Drosophila melanogaster: one gene and its partners. The protein of the gene in region 1 interacts with the protein of each later gene in a pairwise test. Each region holds a gene or a part of one and is shown on either strand. Other genes may lie near its edges.

What was found.
Region 2: the proteins of CG12307 (region 1) and CG1394 interact in a two-hybrid assay, tested with the Drosophila melanogaster proteins (one large-scale study listed by BioGRID).
Region 3: the proteins of CG12307 (region 1) and CG33695 interact in a two-hybrid assay, tested with the Drosophila melanogaster proteins (one large-scale study listed by BioGRID).

Annotation. Positions count from the first base shown.
Region 1 is NT_033779.5:11,648,132-11,653,800, forward strand, and holds CG12307 (uncharacterized protein), read right to left. Parts: upstream 3,880-5,669; 5' UTR 3,809-3,879; coding exon 3,260-3,808; 3' UTR 3,200-3,259; downstream 1-3,199. Other genes in the region: CG6614 (uncharacterized protein), read right to left, coding at 1-648; CG4983 (uncharacterized protein), read left to right, coding at 4,524-5,627.
Region 2 is NC_004354.4:11,168,272-11,173,903, forward strand, and holds CG1394 (uncharacterized protein), read right to left. Parts: upstream 2,408-5,632; 5' UTR 2,239-2,407; coding exon 1,735-2,238; 3' UTR 1,540-1,734; downstream 1-1,539. Other genes in the region: Antdh (antennal dehydrogenase), read right to left, coding at 1-103, 183-758.
Region 3 is NT_033779.5:11,274,764-11,281,386, forward strand, and holds CG33695 (uncharacterized protein), read left to right. Parts: upstream 1-3,257; 5' UTR 3,258-3,349; coding exon 3,350-3,367; intron 3,368-3,387; exon of another isoform or gene 3,388-3,606; coding exon of another isoform or gene 3,607-3,630; coding exon 3,631-3,722; intron 3,723-3,811; coding exon 3,812-3,910; intron 3,911-3,991; coding exon 3,992-4,700; 3' UTR 4,701-5,084; downstream 5,085-6,623. Other genes in the region: cana (CENP-ana), read left to right, coding at 1-1,312, 1,374-1,574, 1,636-1,785, 1,842-2,093, 2,158-2,433, 2,492-2,572; Ppt2 (Palmitoyl-protein thioesterase 2), read left to right, coding at 5,609-5,752, 5,854-5,995, 6,058-6,165, 6,370-6,623.

The sequences.
Region 1 (5,669 bases):
TAGAAGATCGCAGTGGCCACGGGATAGGAGTTCCAGTCGCTCCTCCGAAAAGGTACCTCCCTCACCTTCCTCTCCACCTTCCTCACCATCACGTTCGGATGACCACTTACTTGATCTCTCCTTTAGAACATTTTCTTTACTCTCCAAGGCATCTGTGATTAATTGATTTATTTCACGCGAAGAGGATGTGCGTCCATGCTTCCTTGACTTCCCTTTCCCAGATCCTCCCTTGCGGCGCCTGGGAATCCTTTGATAGAGGGATATCAACAGCGGCTGATCGCTAAACGTGTTCATGTCCTCGATATCGTCCTGCATCACACCCATTGCAAATACGGGCTTCTTCAGATTGAACTCATGCTGATAGATTATGGTATCTGTCGTGTAGCGCTCCTGCATCTTCTGCAGTGTGTTCTTCGGATGGTAGAGGTGCAGCTCCAGAGGATTCCCCGTTTCGGGTAGCTTGCTCATTTCGTTCAGCTGGATGTAGAGGAAGACCCGTTGCTGTGGGGCCTGCCTCTGGTCCAAAGGAATCTCCACCGTTCGCTGCTCGACAGCCTTGTTCCTGCTAATCTCGTTACCTCCTGCTGAGCGCCTCCGTTTTGTGAGCCGAGCAGTTCGACGGAGGGTGTTTCGGATCTTTCTATCCATTGTGAATTGAAATAAAGGTGTGCTACAGAAAACTGGTTTTATCTTTAGATCGAGCTCAGCAGCTGTTGACAGCCGAAGCGCTGATTTCTCAGTTTTTAAGAAGTCCCAATACATACACAAGTGTTTGCAACCACACAAATCCTATCATTTTTCAGTCACACGCAGAGAATAGAGCATTTTGACGGCCAGAACTAATTCAAAATGTTGGAATGCGGTTACACATATCACATATTTAAATTTAAGAAAAACAGCCTGGGATACCTCCTTCACATTTAAAATGCGTATCCAATTCTCAGACATTCACCCAAACCATGCAGAAGTTGAAGAGGTTACTTAGCCGCCTTCGAAGACTCTCATCTGCGTATCTTTTATTCAAAAGGAAAAAATGTTTTATGTATTCTGATGCCGACGCCGCGGGATTCTAAACAATAAACACTTCAACAAGTCGCCTGCTCGTTTCCATTCGCCCTCGCAAAATTCCGAACGGTCTGGCCTAAAAAATCGTATGGCATTTCGACGGGAATGGCGGGGGCTGTGTGGGTTTTATTACTCCCAGACATATAAGTTTTATTAGACACGGTAGGGTCGTAAACCAAATTTCGGCAAAGTGTCAAGAAGCAACATGAACAGGTTGAGAATTAAGCTCGCCAAGTTTTCATTGGTAGATCTAATTTAATCAGTCATCGCTTTGAATTAGGAGAATTCTTAGAATTTACCCAGGGCATGGAAACACTTATTCCGCACATTTCTCTACTGCTTTATCCACACAAAAGCCAAAACAATTAAACATCAAGCTTCCAGTTGGCAATTAATGAATGCGAAAGAGAGACGAAGCGTAAATTGATTTAAATGCGCAGAACTGAAGCCAAAAGAAAGTCAATTTATTTAATTTTGTTTTATGTCTCGCTGCTCCAGTGACTTTGCAGTTGATAGTTGTCGGTTTTGTGGCGCTTTTTGTTGGTTGCCATTTTTTTTTTTTTTTATTGTTTTAGCGAAACGGTCAAAGTCAGTCCAAATGCATTTTTAAATTAAACTTTTACGTCAACTTTTCGCATAAATGTGCGCACACGCAAAGGCAAGGACAAGAACAAAAAAAAATGAAATAAAATAAGAGAACAAAAATTAACTCTTGACCTGCGGGCTGGCAGCAACAAAAAATTCCAGCTACTGCAACTATATAAAAATATTGCACATTTATACAAGCCAGGCGGCTTTTTTTTCGAAGGCGGCGGATTGCGTTGCGTAAACTTATGCCATATATTGCATTTATAACTGGCTCGACGTTCCGAATATTAATATTATTTTTTAAATGTGGGTCACTGCGAATTTGCATAGCGCACTTTTCGGCCAGCAGAGTCCTTTTGCACCCAAGATCGTGTGTGCAAATTCCTTGGCTTTGCCTTCGACTTCATGGCTTCGACTTCGTGGCTTCCTGCATTTATGGCATCGTCAAAGGAGGCGAACTTAAAATGCAGCGCTTGCAACTTTAATATAACTTAATCCTTTTGCGGCTCCTGTGTGTGTGTGTGTGTGTGTAACTTACGAATTATGGCGTTAATACCACTATGTGCTTAAGAGTCCGCTGTCCCTGTGTTTGTGCTGTGTGTGTGTGTGTATGTGCATGTTTGAGCTCGTGTTACTTTAGCAAGTTGACTTTTGGGATCATCATTAGAGAGCGGAGTGGGTATGTGTCAGTGTTTGCCAACATGCAGCTTGCGGTTTGAGTTTTCTCTTTAGCACAATCCCGATGACGTCAGAAGCTTAGCATCGAAGGCACGCCACAAAGAAAGTTATTTATGGAAATAATGTTAATTATCACAGTAAGCAGGAAAGTTGATTCCATAGTAACGTCCATTGCGATGGCATTAATTTGCTGAAATCCTAAACTTTGCTGGCATTTATTTGTGGTTAAATAATAAGGTATGCCGTAGAATAAATAATATAGCATAACCGATGCATCCCTTTCCATCTCCACCCTCAAGCTATAAGCAATGTGAAAGCGGAAATGTCAGTTCACTAATATCTTCGATTAATTTAAAGCCTAGCAAATTCTGATAAATATATAAATCCACGATTTAATATTTTAATGGCATTAGACACTTCTCATAAAACTACCATCACAACAGTCGCTGAATGCCAGTGAAAAAATCGGAAGCCACTAGAAAACCAGTTACAACCCTTTTGCCACACATGCTCCCCCCTATCCACTGATACCACCGGCAGCTCTGCATCAATAGGCAAATGGGTGGTGGTGCTGGGAATCCACTTTCAGTGGCACATGTATGCTGGAACGATTCGACAAAATGCTGAAAACGGAATTTGCAAAATGTCACGTCTGACGTTCGCTGGCAACTAAGACGGAAATTTACCACTAAATGACGACCAACCCCCGAAACGAGGTGCCACTGATACGAGGGGCAACCTCAGAGCTCGATGAAGTGCAAAATGGAAGCCCAGACGAGTAACTGCCATTATGGGGAACTTCTTCAAGAGAGATGAATACTTTTACAGTAGTCATGCAGTACGTACATTGATTGAAACAAATTCGAATAAATCAATCCACATTTAATTTCATTAATTGTTTTGGACAATGTTACAGAGGATAAAGGACTCAATCGGTAAGACTCCAGCCAAAGGTATACGGCTTGTTGGCATCCATTGGCTGCATCATGGCATAGCCGTCCCAGCCGCAGGAATCACCACCCGCATTCGTTGGCAGGTTGTAGTAGCCGCAAGGACTGCCCATGGAGGTTTGCATTTGCTGGCGCTGTAAAATCTGCGCCTGCAACGGTTGCATCATCGCGAGATTGTTAGACGGCGAGTGCTGCTGCACCATGACTGGGCCAGGACAACTCACAGAGCTCTGTTGGCTTGGCTTGGACATGTATGAGGGCGCAGGATACCGGGTCTCCATTCGTTGATATATAGGTTGTTGGACAATGGACTTGGGGCAGTTGGTATGTGGCGCCTGTGGCTGTACCTGCTGCATCTGCATGCGCTGTTGCATTGCTGCCTGATGAGCACCTAAGGGTGGCTGTATTGGCTTTCCGTCCACCAATACCGGATAAACTTTCCCGCCAAAGACGAGCCCGCTGCCATAGGTGACCATGCCATTCTGTGGCACTTGCGGTGAACTGTCTTGCACAGTTGAGTTTTTCATTGTAATGGTGTCTCTTTTTTTTTATTAGAATTTTCTAATTCGAATTTCAGCAACCGCACTCCTAAAAGTTGATCAAAATACTGACGAGAGATTTAGATAGATCTGACAACAGAATCTCAGCACTCGCTTGAAAATCCCTCGGCCTGCTAATTAATGTGGCTTAACTCTGAGCAACCACCCTATATTTGCAAGAAAGAAAAACTCAGAGGATTTTCGACCTTATCATCACGTACACTCCGAATTGATAAACTTTGTCAGCTCTCTAGGAAGCGGGAGTCATTTTTAATTAAGCCGAGAGTAGAACTTGAAGAAGGCACCCGAGATTGTCAGAGATAAAAAGAAAAACAAGAAAGGGATAACCAAGATTACTTGAATGTAAAATAACAATGTGAATTCATGTGGCCACACCAATTATGTATACACAAATAACAGAGAAAGAACCTAAAACAGAGTGATTGCCTTAATGGAATTGTTCAAGACTAGTATAAACTGATTTTTGTGTCAGTTCGTTTGAGATGCCTTAATCGAAAAGCCAATCAAAAATTAGAAAAAAATAGTTTGGCTTTCCGACACAAACACAAGAAATTACCACATCCTGGCCCATACCTTCTAAAATTTAATCCGAATCAGGTAAGTTTTTGTGGGTTCTGGGTGTTTAAGAGGTTAAGGTCAAACACGTAGGTCCCACAGGAAATTGCCAACCTGTCTACCCAACATGTTTCCTGATGACTTCGACGTAGAACCCTTCAATCCATTCAATGTGGGACCACCCAATAGTGGAGCCCGATCTGAATTCAAAATACCTACATGCGTTACGTATCCGCCACCGGTATTCGTACCCAAGTCCGAATATGTACAACCATCAGAGGAGTTGGTTTCCCGGAAGAGCAACCAAAGTATAGGCAAGTCGACTATCGGCGAGGTGGACATTTCCAAGGCCATCAATGAAGAGATGGCCGTGGCCAAGAAGCAGGCCGAAGTTCTCAATGAAAAAGATCGCATTGATGCGGGTGGTGTTTCAACAACGAAGCTGTCCAAGGTATCTCAATCAAAGGAAGCGGTTTCAAAGGACTCTTTGCGCACCCTAATGCCAATAAGGTCAAACCGTCAGGTCAGTGGTGATGGTAGAGCAAATTCCAAATTATCCATATCACAATTCAGTGCGGCATCCAAGACGAGCTGCACAAATAAGCAAAGTGAGGGTGACGTGGCCTCAAAGTCTTCGAACATAACATTGAAACGATCTGCAATAGGCAACAGTATTTCCTCAAATACCACCCTCACTCCGAAGTCAATTTTGAAGTCGAAACATTTCTCAGAAGCAGCCAAAGCTTCCTCTACCACAATGAAATCAAAAGTTTCAAATAAGCCATCAGAAACTGGAACGCAGCGCTCCTTCAAATTAAATCCTGCTGACTCAGACTCGAAACAATCTCTAAAATCTGCAAAACCAAAGCATTCCGATTTTAAAATGCAAGATAAGAAGCTGACCAGTTCTCAAGAACAAGCCCCGTCTGTTGTTGCCACAAGTAATGCAAGGCAAGACTCTTGGAATGATCGTGTCCCTTCAAAGACCAACAAGTCAAATGTACTACCTGAATCCAAGGATGGCCCCAGCTATATTCATTCGGAAGCAGCTTTATCCTACAGACAGTCCTTGAACCAGCAGGCTGCCGAAATGGCGGATCGCCTAAACGCCGGAAATGAAAACTTTAGGCGTTACAACTCCGTGGCACGGAATCACTCGATCAAAGTACCTCAAAAACTTACCGATGGGGATCGTATGACATTTTGGTTCAGCGATGCTGTACTTTCCTAGAAACACATTTCCTTGACAAACAAATTCTTAGTTCATATTTAC
Region 2 (5,632 bases), on another chromosome or scaffold:
GCACTCCCTGTGCGATGTCCTCGGAGTGGAGCATTCGATCCTTGATGGCCTCCCTAATGCTGTCCGGCACGATCTCCGTGTCCACCACGCCCGGACTGACGCTCTACGTTGGCGGAAAAAGCCAAAAAGGGGTTAGAAAAATGTTCAATCCGAAGAAAGTGGAAAATGGAAAGCGAACCAACCGTAATCTTGATGCGGGTGCCCAGGCCGAAGAACTCCTGGCGATATCCTTCGGCCAGCGCTGTAACTGCATGCTTGCTGGGCGGATAGACGTTCACATCGGGCGCCACGCCCTCCGTGGCCGTCATGGTCTTGTGCCCCAGGATGCTATTGATGAGCACCACATGGCCGTCGAACTTGCGCTCCCGCATGGAACGCACCGCTCGCTGGGTGCACAGCACGATGCCCATGATGTTCGTCTGCAATACCTGCTGCATTACGGCCGGATTCATGTCCACCAGATAGCCGGGTTGCAGGGTGCCGGCATTGTTGACCAGCACATCGATGGCGCCCAACTTTTGGATGATCCAATCGAAGGCCTCGTTTACGGAACTCTCGTTGCCCACGTCGCAGTAGAGGGCAAAAAGTTTGCCGCGCTTCTCCGCCGGCAGCTCCCTCTGCAGCTCCTTGACGCGATCGACACGTCGGGCCAGACCCACCACCGTCATTCCGGCTAGGACCAGATCCTTGGCTATGGCCGATCCGATGCCCGAACTGGCGCCAGTGACGACGGCCACGCGATTCTGCCAGCGTTCCATGATTTTCGATTGCGATTTCAACGATGATTACTCGAATCTCGGCCAGAAGATCCACTTTATATATCGCTGCGATGGTTGCGTGCGCTCTCCAAACGAGTTCTAGCCTAGTACACTGAGAGAAAAGTTCGAGCCAAACAATAGAATAAATATATAATGACTTGGTAACATTACGATTATGCTAAATTCATGTAATTTTAGTATAAATCATCGAATCTTTTTTTAAGAATAATTTCCCAATGGGCATACCCATTTTTTTGTAAGTGCATCTCGTTAGCGTGTTGAGAAATTGCCATCTCATCACTGTGACAATCAGCCACGCCCTGTGATACGACAAAAGGGGCGGCAGGCGTTGTATTTGCATAGTTAGAAACGATGAAACTTGTATTGTTTTTTGTACTTTACAATGCGAATCTCAAGAACATATATTTATACGAAGTGCTCAAGATAATCATACGGTGGAAAATTGGGTCTATTAATCTTATAAATGGTTTGCACCTAGTTATTTAAATTTGATTTGTTTAAACTAAATAGAAAAATCGAAATATTTACAATGTAAGCTTGATTTGTGCTTTAATTATTTGTATAAAAAATAAAACTTCAATATTTGACTGCCGAGTGAAAATAACAATAGTAACCTTTGCCATACATCACATTTTGCCTATTTAGTAATTAGCATATAAAATATATGCGATTTGAGTTTACAACGCTCTTCTCACATTCAATTTGCCGCACGTTAACTCATCTCTGTATTTATTAATGCAATTAACCCACCCACCGATTTGTGCCAACTGATTATTTTCATATCTTATGGATTTATGACATTTATTTTATACATTTTCGCCAAGTACGAGTCGTTTGAGCTGCACAAAACGGACGTTTGGTTCGAAAACTAATTGTGTATGTATATGGCCCATATGCGATTCACTTTAGTCGTTCGGTGAAGATGCTCGTGCTGTCATTGTTCGTGGCATCGATCCTACCAGAAGCCACCCTTGGATGCACTGCCTCCGCCGTAGTTCATGCTCATGTCCATGCCGTTGTAGGCGCAGAAGGCTTCGCCATTGTCGATGCACGGTTCATTTCGTCCGGGTATGTCTCCATATATTGAACGGTCCACGGGTGGCGGCACTATATGCTGGGCTCCTGTAATGGGCATGCCACACGACATGGCACCCGGCATGGCACCCGGCATGGCACCCGACATGGCACCCGGCATGACGCCCGGCATGGCACCCGGCATGGCAGCCGGCATGCCACCGGCTCCTCCGGCGTATGGTAGCATGGAGTGTGCCTGAGCTGCGCCCTGGCTAGGCCAACCTCCTAGTCCGCCGGCTGATCCTAATCCTGGTGCTGCTGCTGTTGCTGATAGTGGTGGTGGAGCGGCTGCTCCAGCGGCAGAGTGCTGCATGAAGTCACCCATCTGCGGATAAACGGGAGCATTCAACGGCTGGCCATTCCAGTACGAAAACGAATTCGACATATTGTGAGTTGCGGTTGAGTAAATCCTAAATACAAATAATTTGGGAAAGTGGTGAAAAAGAAACAGTTTTTCTTTCGATTTTTTTTTTTTTGACCAAATAAAAGTTGTACAAAATTTTGCTCCGCTGAACGGTGTTTACTGTTTGGGATCTAAAATATAACTGATAATCTGGAGCTCCGGCTGGGGTACCTCGATTTTTCGGCTTGACATTTAATTTCATGGATATGTTGATTGGAAATTTTTGGAAATTTTTTTTCGACCGATTGCAGTTGGCCATGAAAATACATACGATATTAAATTGATTGTTTTACCTTGGCACATATTTTAGGTTTAGCTCTTCCATAAAATGCCTAAGAGTAAATATATTTTCTAAATATTTTGAATAGCAAATTATAAGTTACCATAGTATATATGTACATCATCGTAAAATATTTGATTTATTAACCTGACATAAGATTGTTCATAAAGGTTTTTGTGCTTCTAATTCAGGTCATTCCGTGTTATTTAGCATACAATTTTATATTGTGATAAATGACATTTCTTTTTATTTTCATTTCATCTTTTTGCTCTTGAGTCTTGATTCCTATTTCTATGATTTTTTTTTTTTGGTTTAGCCTTGTCGGAAAATGGGGGCGGTGGGCGACCGAGGGGCGTGGCATGGCCAGCGTTGTGTTTAATTTTTGAAAAAGGACGCCAACTGTCGTGATGCAGCACAGATGATAATGACGAAGACGCGGCAACAAACGTTTATTTACACACTGGGTATTAAATGGGTATTAAAGACTTGGTACCATAAAATAGAAATAAAACATTGTGCATCTAATTACTTTGCTAACTATAAAACAATTATAAAACTGCATTAAATTCGATTAAAGTAATTGAACATTTTGGCAAATATAAGCAATTATATGCTATTTCGTGTTTAACTTTCAACTTGATCTTATAGCCCATCTAACACGTTTTGATTCACACATGATTGGCATTTAAATACGGTATTTTTAAGGTTCTCACCCTCTTGGCCATTCACATTCCACTTGATTCTTGTGCCAAGCATAAAATGCAAAACACTTGAACTGAGTGAAAACGAAGGCGAAAGCAAAATAAGCAACAACAAAATGTCTCATAAACCAACCAGATGCAGTGAAAGAAAATTCATACTAAAAATATATACATATATAACAAATGTACAGTATAAATTATTACTTTATAGTTCTAGTTGACAATAAGGAATTAAATGTTTCAACATTGCGTATGCTTAATATTCAATGCTGATATTGCGTATACGCAACGTTGGCCGCATTTTATTTTTAACTGTGCCTGCGAATATGAAGAATAAGCAGTAAGCTGAGAGAAAAATAAAAGAACGCAACATGGCAGGGTGTTGATAATGATAGCAAAGACAAAGGCCCACGCCTAATGGGACACGGAATGACGACTGAGGGGCGATGATGAGGCGTTGGCCGGATGGCAGGATAGCTGGATGCTTGGATGGTTGGATGGTTGGATGACTGTAAGGCCGGGTGACCATCCGACTGTCATGCCCACGTCCTTGACGCGCTGCAGTGGCGACAACGTAGTTAAATTGCCTGTCCTCGGCCGGCGTCAACATTGTGTCATTGCTAGTATTAAATCAGAGCCAAACAAATGATGATACATAAGTGCGACACAAGTGCGCAAAAAAAAGAAAAAAATATACAAACACAGCGAAGATTAACCGAAATGCTGGGTGGGAAAATTAAAATTACAGCACATAGCTTTGGTGCACTGAAAGAAAAATCCAGCACATTTTAATATTCAAGGTTCTTACTTTAACTATATAGTAGTTAAATTGCAATAAAATTGAAGTTATTTAAACCGATACTATTATTTATGACTACACACTGTGCACTTCTTGTGCAAAGAAATTTGTCTCAATATAAATTATGCTGGAATTCCTCTGGTTTTTCGTGTCTTAAGCGCTGTAAGTGATCAACTGAGTTCATATTTCAACGCCTGACCTTGGGTCATTCCAAATTATGTGATGCCAACTATGCCGGATGGGAGACTGATGGGCCAGGGCAGCTGGGTTGGCGAGCTGGTAACTAGAAAAGGGCAGCGGGTAAAGCGGGAAGACAAAGAGGCCAGTGCATAGCATAGTTCATCAAGTTTGCAAACAAACGCATACCACAGTCGGACTTCAAGGAGGCGAAGCGTCTCGAGGGGGGTGGGGGACTTCGACTTGGGTCAAATATGTTAGCAGTTGCATTCTGTTTTGGCTGGGAACAGCAAACATTCAAGTAGCTGGCAAAGGACAAAGGACCAGCACAGTGAGCCAAAATGACAAAGTAAATATAGTAAGGAAAAAAATTGACTTACAGATTAATTACTAAGTTAATTCGGTCTTTGAGACTATGTATGCAAAGCAGTATTGAATTTATAGCAAGCTTCATAAATTATGGAACTTAACCCATAGATTTATATGACTTCCTCTTAGTAAATCTTCACCACTGTAGCACAGTGTAGTTTTATCGCATTACTACAGCCGGTGGACCACTTTTTCTCTCTCTTTCCATTCACATCTACCTATTTCTTTCTCCGCCTCTGTCTGTTCGCCATGGGTTTCCTCCCATGCCATTAGCAAAAATGGGTAAATAAGCTTAGTTCAACTCTACTTCGAGTGGCGACTTTGGTGGGTGGGAGCGGGATGGCAAATGGCAAATGGCGGGAGCGAGATGGGGATAGTTGCAGGGCAAGTGGCGGGCGGGCGGGTGAAAGTGGTGAGAGCACTTGAAAAAGTGGCAAAATAATTACCGATAACACAAATGCCCAGGCACCGATTCCGAACGGTTGAACTTTTTTCCGTGTGCCCGCCATTTTTCCCGCCCTTTCATCGCAATTTTCGCCCGCCCTTCCACGTGGCTTTTCCTGCTTTTCGCCACCCCCTCCCCCCCCACACCCAACTCTTTCCTCTCTCCTCGCCGATTTCCTTTTTTTTTGTGTTTCGCTTGTAGAACTCTGGCTTACATAAATTCAATTGTGCGCCGCTGCGAGTGTGTTTGTGTTTGGCTGTCAGTGCAGTTAGGCTAAACCGATTTGTCTCATCCCGCCTTCACCCGGCGCACTTTCCCATTTTCCGCTCACGATCCTGAATTTCCCTGCAGGATATGCGCTGTTTTCAAGAAGTTTTCGATCAATGCTAAAATATTGAATGCCTTATGTTTTATATTTTATTTGTATTTAAAAGAATTGAAAAGTAATCTCAATCTTTGGATTTGTTTCTAATACTATTCCAAGGTGTTTTTAAGTGGAATTTTAAATTTACCTTTTGTATATTAAAACTATATGAATCTGCTTTATTGATTGAATAGTTATTTTCCTGATATGCAAACATAATACTCCGATTTCCTTCCCCAGA
Region 3 (6,623 bases), 370 kb from region 1:
ACGCTACGAAGAGCAGCTACAGCAGACCAATGAAAAGCTCGCCAGTGTTACGACTCAGTGTCAGGTGCATTTGGATGTCATTAAAAGATCTCTTCAAGAAAAGATTACTCAGGCCGAGAAGGAAAGAAACGAATTGGCTGTCCGACACAAGGCAGAGCTTGAAAAAATCAGGGAAACGCTGAAGGAGAAGGAATCTTCTTACAAGGAGAAACTAAGGCAAGCGGAGGAGGAGCGCGATAAGGAAATTTCTAGGCTTGAGGTGATGCGAAACACAATAGCAGAGCTGCATAAAACGAATTCTGATCGGGAAGTGGAACTCGAGGGAGTGAAAATGGAAAAATGCCAACTTAAGAAGCTGTACGACAAAAGCATGTTGGAGCTAGAACAACTGCAATGCACTGCCGACCAGAAAAGTTCGGATTTGCTGCCAGGCTCGTCGAACGAGAACATCGATGACCTGCAAAAGAAGTGCGATCAATATGTTCAGGATTTGGAGCTGTTGAGGGGCGAGAAAGCAGAACTGCTATCGGAGATCCAGAAAATCAACGGACAGCACTCGAATACCATAAAAAAACTTGAGGAAATCGAAGCGGAAATGATTACACTAACCACTCAAAAGGAGTTGGAGAGGTGTGAAATTGCAGAAAAGCTGGAGACTTTCAAGTCCAAGGAGGCAGATATCAAAGAAGCTCTGCACTGTGCCCAGCTCAGGCTTCATGCCTACGATAAGCTGGTGTGCGAGTACGAGCGGCTAAAAGGCTGTCTTTCGGATTCAAATAAGTTGTCGGAAAATCTGCAGAAGAAAGTGGAGCGTTTGCATGCTGAACAGCTTGCTTTACAAGAAGGAATTTCCGGCCGAGATTCAGAGATTAAACAGCTTCGCTCTGAGCTCAAGGACGCCATTGATGAAAATAAAACAGTGAGAGAAGCAAAAGTAGGCCTGGAAAATAGTCTTAAAGCAGTACAGGAAAATATGTCTGCCCAGGAAGGTCAGTTTAAACAAAAGATTGCTGATATTAAGGGTTCAGTAGACGAGCTTCAGATTAAACTAAAATCTCTGCAAGAAGTAAGAGACCATCTAGAGTCTAGAAATGAAGAGCTTAAAAGAAAGCTAAAAGATGCTCAGGAACTACAGAACATGGTGGATAAGGAGCGAAAGCTCAATTCCTCTCTACGAGAAGATTTTGACAAACTGGAACAAACCAAACTCGATCTCGAAGAGCAGCTTCGAGCCAAGAAAGTAGAAATCGATCGCCGATCCAAGGAGCTTGGCGAAGTGACCAAGGATTGCGAAAATATACGATCCGATCTGGTAAGTTTTATTTATTTAACGCCTTCACTTTTGTATTCTATTATATTTTATTCTATACCAGGAAGCTCAAACTAATGATTTCCTAAAAGAAAGGGAAACTTTGAACTTGACTATATCCGATCTTCGGTTGCATAATGAGCAATTGCTAGAAACCTCGAAAAATTATCTATCAGACATAACAGCAGCAAATAATTTAAATCTCGAAATGAAGAAGAATCTTCACGATCTCACAAAAGAGTGCAAGAGCTTACGTTCCGATCTGGTAATAATTAATCTGGTAATCTATCTGGTTGATTACAATATAGGTAATTAAAATTTTTCAGCAATCCAAAGAAGAATATTTCCAAACGCAAAAGCAACTGTTGGATGAAACAATTTCTAATCTAAAGGAGGAAAACCGCAAGATGGAGGAAAAGTTGAGTTCGGGTAACAAGGCGCTCAAAGAGGATTGCGAAAAGCTCCGTTCAACATTGGTAATATTAGACTTGTCTTTGTAGGTTATTCGGTCGCTAATGAAATATTTATTTAGGAATCAAAGGAACTTATACTGCAACAGAATAAACAAGAGTTAGAGGAAAGGCTGACTGTTATTAATGAGAAGAATGGGAAAAACGCACTACTTGACGCCCAGTTGAAATCCAATGAAACCGCCTTTACATCACTGCGAAAGGCATGGATTAAGCAAAGTTTAGCCATAGAAGCGGCCAATAAAAGAAGCCTCGAGATGGAACAGAAGGTTGATAAACGTACGAGGGAGTACGAAGAACTACGATCAACTCTGGTAGAATAATTGCAATCAAAGGCTCTTATAAAATAGCTTAATGTTTTCTCTTTAAATCGCCTAGAAAACCAGGGAAATCAACTTTCGATCGGAGAAGGAACGCATGGACGGCACCATCTCTAGCCTGTTAGAAGACAAGCGTAATCTTGAGGAGAAGTTGTGCACAGTCACCGAGCTCCTGGCTAAGCTAAAGCGCGAACTGCCGGCTTTACACACGCAAAAAGTGAACGGAGGCGATGTGTCCATTGAGTTGAATTCCTCGAATGGATCGCCGACTCCTGCAGCTGTTCCAGCAACAAAGAAGCCCCTGGACTGCAATTCCGCTGAATGTGTGCCAAAGGTACGTATGATCTTCTAAATTTCAAGCATGTAATATTTTTTTTATTTCTCTCGTAAAGAAATCCAGCAGCCTAGAGACTGCGGAGCGGAAGAATCGACGGATGACGGCCTACGATGAGAACCGTAAGCAGTTTTGCTGAAACGACTTACGTGACGGCGGAACTACGACCGTTCCTTTAGGTAAGTTAAGGTTTGCTTGGCCGCGAAATCGTCTAAACTTTATGTGGTTTTAACTAATATTGCAGGTGGCAATTGCCACTGCGAGCAGCGGAGCTGCAAACAAAGACTGAGTTCGGACTGGAGGCAAAACGTTGAGTTCAACGATGATAAAAAAGATGATTAATGTTATCCAAGTATTAGGGATTTCTTTTGTTAGGTGTTATCTTGCAAACGGTGGAATTCCACATCATAAAGTTTTCTATTTATATTTACGCCCTAAGTATTTGTCAAATACTATCAATACAAAAATTACAAAAACAATCGTGATCGTAGTATTTAAATTTAAATCTGTATTATGCTGGTTTTTGTTTAATAGTTAAATTCGATAAATAGTTAAATATTGTTAATTAAGAAATGTTTCCTTCATCATGTGTAATAATATTTGGTTCATATGTATAGCATTGAATAAACTATTTACATTTTCTTAATGTTAAAATCAGATTCGCATAAGTTGCTGGTTCTAATAATAAAAGACATAAATTACTTAAATGTAAATCTAAATAAGCATAACGCTTCTTGTTTGAATTCCCGATTGCACCAATCGATAAGTCGATAGTAGCGCAAATACATATTCTAGTGTTGTGCATTGGAAAATTGACGGCCGCTTGAGTGTTGTGTACGGCGTCAGTGTTGAATAGCTGCGGACGCAAAACTACGTAAAATTACGACAAAAAAACAGCGCCCCGCGAAAAAAGGCCATGAACTCGGCAATCAAGGTAGGTTCAGCCGCTCCACCACATCCGCCGGCAGCTCCGACCGCGTTGATCCCGTCGCCAGCGCCTCCGCGCGTTGCAAGCGAGAAAAAGGCGGCGCGGGAGAGAGTCGAGAGTCATTCGTTTGTCTCACTCCTGCGAGTGGGAAATTTGTTGTTCCACCGTGAGTGGGCCGGCGGGCGGTGGGCAGGGGCGGTGCGTTTGTTTTGAATTTGCACGCGGTAACAACAAACTGACTCCGGATGCAAATCCGCATGCACTTGCAGGTGGGGGAGATATTCACGGCCGCCGGACAGGCGTTCAGCAGACTGGGCGATCTAACCATGCAGCTGCATCCCAATGCGGAGTCGCCATCGGGGTAAGTTGATTCTATGCGGTGGAGTCGCGAGTTTTGTGGACACTAATCGGAGTGTTTCTGTGTGCCTTGTTCCCTCGCCACGGCTGCAGGAAGTGGACGGACGAGGAGATCGACATGCTGCACTCGTCCATAATGCGCTTCTCCGACGACCTGACCAAGATCAGCCTAAGCATCAAGAACCGCACCGTGTAAGTGATCCTGTGCTCCTGGCGAGGGAACCGGCTGCCCAGTGTGTACGTGCTAGTTTTAATTGACCTTCCCCATTGCAGTTCTCAGATCCGCCAGGCGCTGAAGAAGAAGGCCTTCGAGGACGCCGGCATTCCCGCCAAGCAAGTGCCCGTCCAGCAGGTGCAACACGTTCTCCAGACGCTGCCACAACAGCAGCCGCAGCAGCCCCTTCAGCAGCCACCTCCTCAAGTATTCAAGTCACAGCCAATCGTGCAGCACGTACAGCTGGTGGCGCAGCCAAAGCAGATCATCCTGCATCCACAGTCTAATACAACTACGACGGGCACGACGGTGACTGTTAAGCAGTACCAGCAGATGCAGAAGGCTGCGGCATTAGCGGCAGCCCAGGCTGCAGCCTCGACGGCCAACAACACGCCCACCATCACGGAGAACATCATTATCCAGCAGCCCACTTCGACTACGGCGACAGTGGTGCAGCAGCCACATATGGTGTCCACCTGCTCGTCGACGCAGATCGTGGTGCCCGTTGTGTCGGCAGTGTCCACTGTTCCAACAGTACTCTCGCCCACGGTGGTGATTGCCGACGATGTGGTTAGCACCTCCAATCCTCCAGCGGCAGCGGCGACAGTAGGATCGCCAGCAGGGGCGCCAGCAGGCTTAAAGTGCGGACCAGACGTGTCCATGACCCTCAATCGCATCAATGTCCAGGAGAACGAGGTGGACGTGGAGGAGTGCCTGCCCGCAGAGGTGGTCAAGCTGGATTTTGTCAGCGAGGAGGTGGCCGGGTGAGGTTCGAGCCCTCGGAACGGGCTGGACTTCTTCTACTAGATCTCCGGCCGCAGAACGAATCACGTAACTTGGAACAGAACCGCTACAAATCCAGATCGAGAACTCTTAAGCAAAAAGGTTGAGATGCCGCCCTAGCCCTAAGTCTAAACTGTTAAGTGTTGTCATATTTGATATACCCTGAAATCACCTTGTTCCGGGCCCCGGATGACAAATGAATTGTGCGATGTGGAGGACGAGTCTGTGGATCGCCAGCCACAGAGCGTAGATATTAATTGCGGAGCGTATATGCGCCGCCTAGACTTAAATTTACGCAAGACACAATAGTGCAAAGTACATAACGACGATCGTGTAAGTTGAGAGTGAATAAACGAGCATTATTTTAAGATTCGGCGATCTCTGGGATTTTATTGGAGTTAGGAAAGCCCAAGGAGCGTAGAAATTTAGTTATTTGCAATGGCTTCTACAATCTCATTGCTGTAATTTGTACTTCATACTTTTATTTTGATCAGACTGTATTATAAAAGCATATATATAATTATATTTTTAAAGCACCCAATGCAAACTCAATTGTGTTTCTAATGGTCCGCTAAATTATATTGCATTTTATCTTTATTTGAATGTACCCATCCAATTTATGGGACCTATTTTATAAACCTTTCCTTTTAAATGCACACCACGTATTTTAAATTCATCCAATTATTGTACAATGAAGTCTCGAGAAATTTCGAATGCATTTTCAAATTTCGTTCTGCTCATAATTGCGCTCGCAACCCATACATTGCCATTCGCATGTCGGATTTCAAATCCGCACTTTCAGAATTTCCAAAGCGGGTAGCAAGAAGAAGAGCGGCTAATAAAGATACGGATACATCAACAACAACAGTCGGAAATCCATTGTTCCCCACAAAATGAGACTTCGTTTGCAAGTCCTGGTGGCCCTGTTAACCTGCTCGTCCATTTCCGTCTCACTGGCCTACAAACCGGTGGTCATACTCCATGGAATTCTATCAGGAGCCGAATCGATGGCCTCTCTGGTCCGGGAAATCGAAGAGGTTTGTTTTTCGATTCCCCTTTGTTATTGTTTACAGTGGCAAGGTCGAATTTGACGCAAACAACGCAGTAGCACTGATAAACTCATTTCGTCCGTTTGTAGTTTCATCCTGGCACTATCGTCTACAACTGCGACAAGTTCAATGGATGGTACAGCTTGGAGAACGCCTGGCGACAGGTCGATCAGGTTAGGGATTATCTCAACGAGGTGGGCAAACTGCATCCAGAGGGCATCATTGTGCTGGGTAAGGCAGCCGATTTTCATTAGAGTATTTTCTTTTAGTTACCAATACTATGCCTTTTTCAGGATACTCACAAGGAGGCCTTTTGGCCCGGGCGGCCATCCAAAGTCTGCCCGAGCACAATGTGAAGACCTTTATATCTCTATCCTCGCCACAGGCGGGGCAATACGGCAGTAAGTGAGATCAAAGTTTAAACCAATGAGTAAATTCTATTTATATAGATGCATAACTGCGTCACATTTTTCCGGGCTAAACTCTTTTAAAGCTTACAAGAAACAAATATATTATGTAACTGTGTTCAAAAATTACGCAGTTGGGTTATAAAACAAAGGGGGATCACAATGGTTCAAGTTTTTATTTTTTGGTAATATTTTCAGCTAGCTTCTTGCATCTAATCTTTCCCGACTTGGCGGCCAAGACAGCCTTCGAATTGTTCTACTCGCGCGTGGGACAGCACACCTCGGTTGGTGGCTACTGGAACGATCCGCAGAGGCAGGATCTCTACCTGAAGTACAGCGAATTCCTGCCACTGATCAATAATGAGAAGAAGACCTCCAACTCCACATCTTTTAAGATGGGAATGGTGCGTCTAAATAAGTTGGTAATGATCGGCGGACCCAACGACGATGTG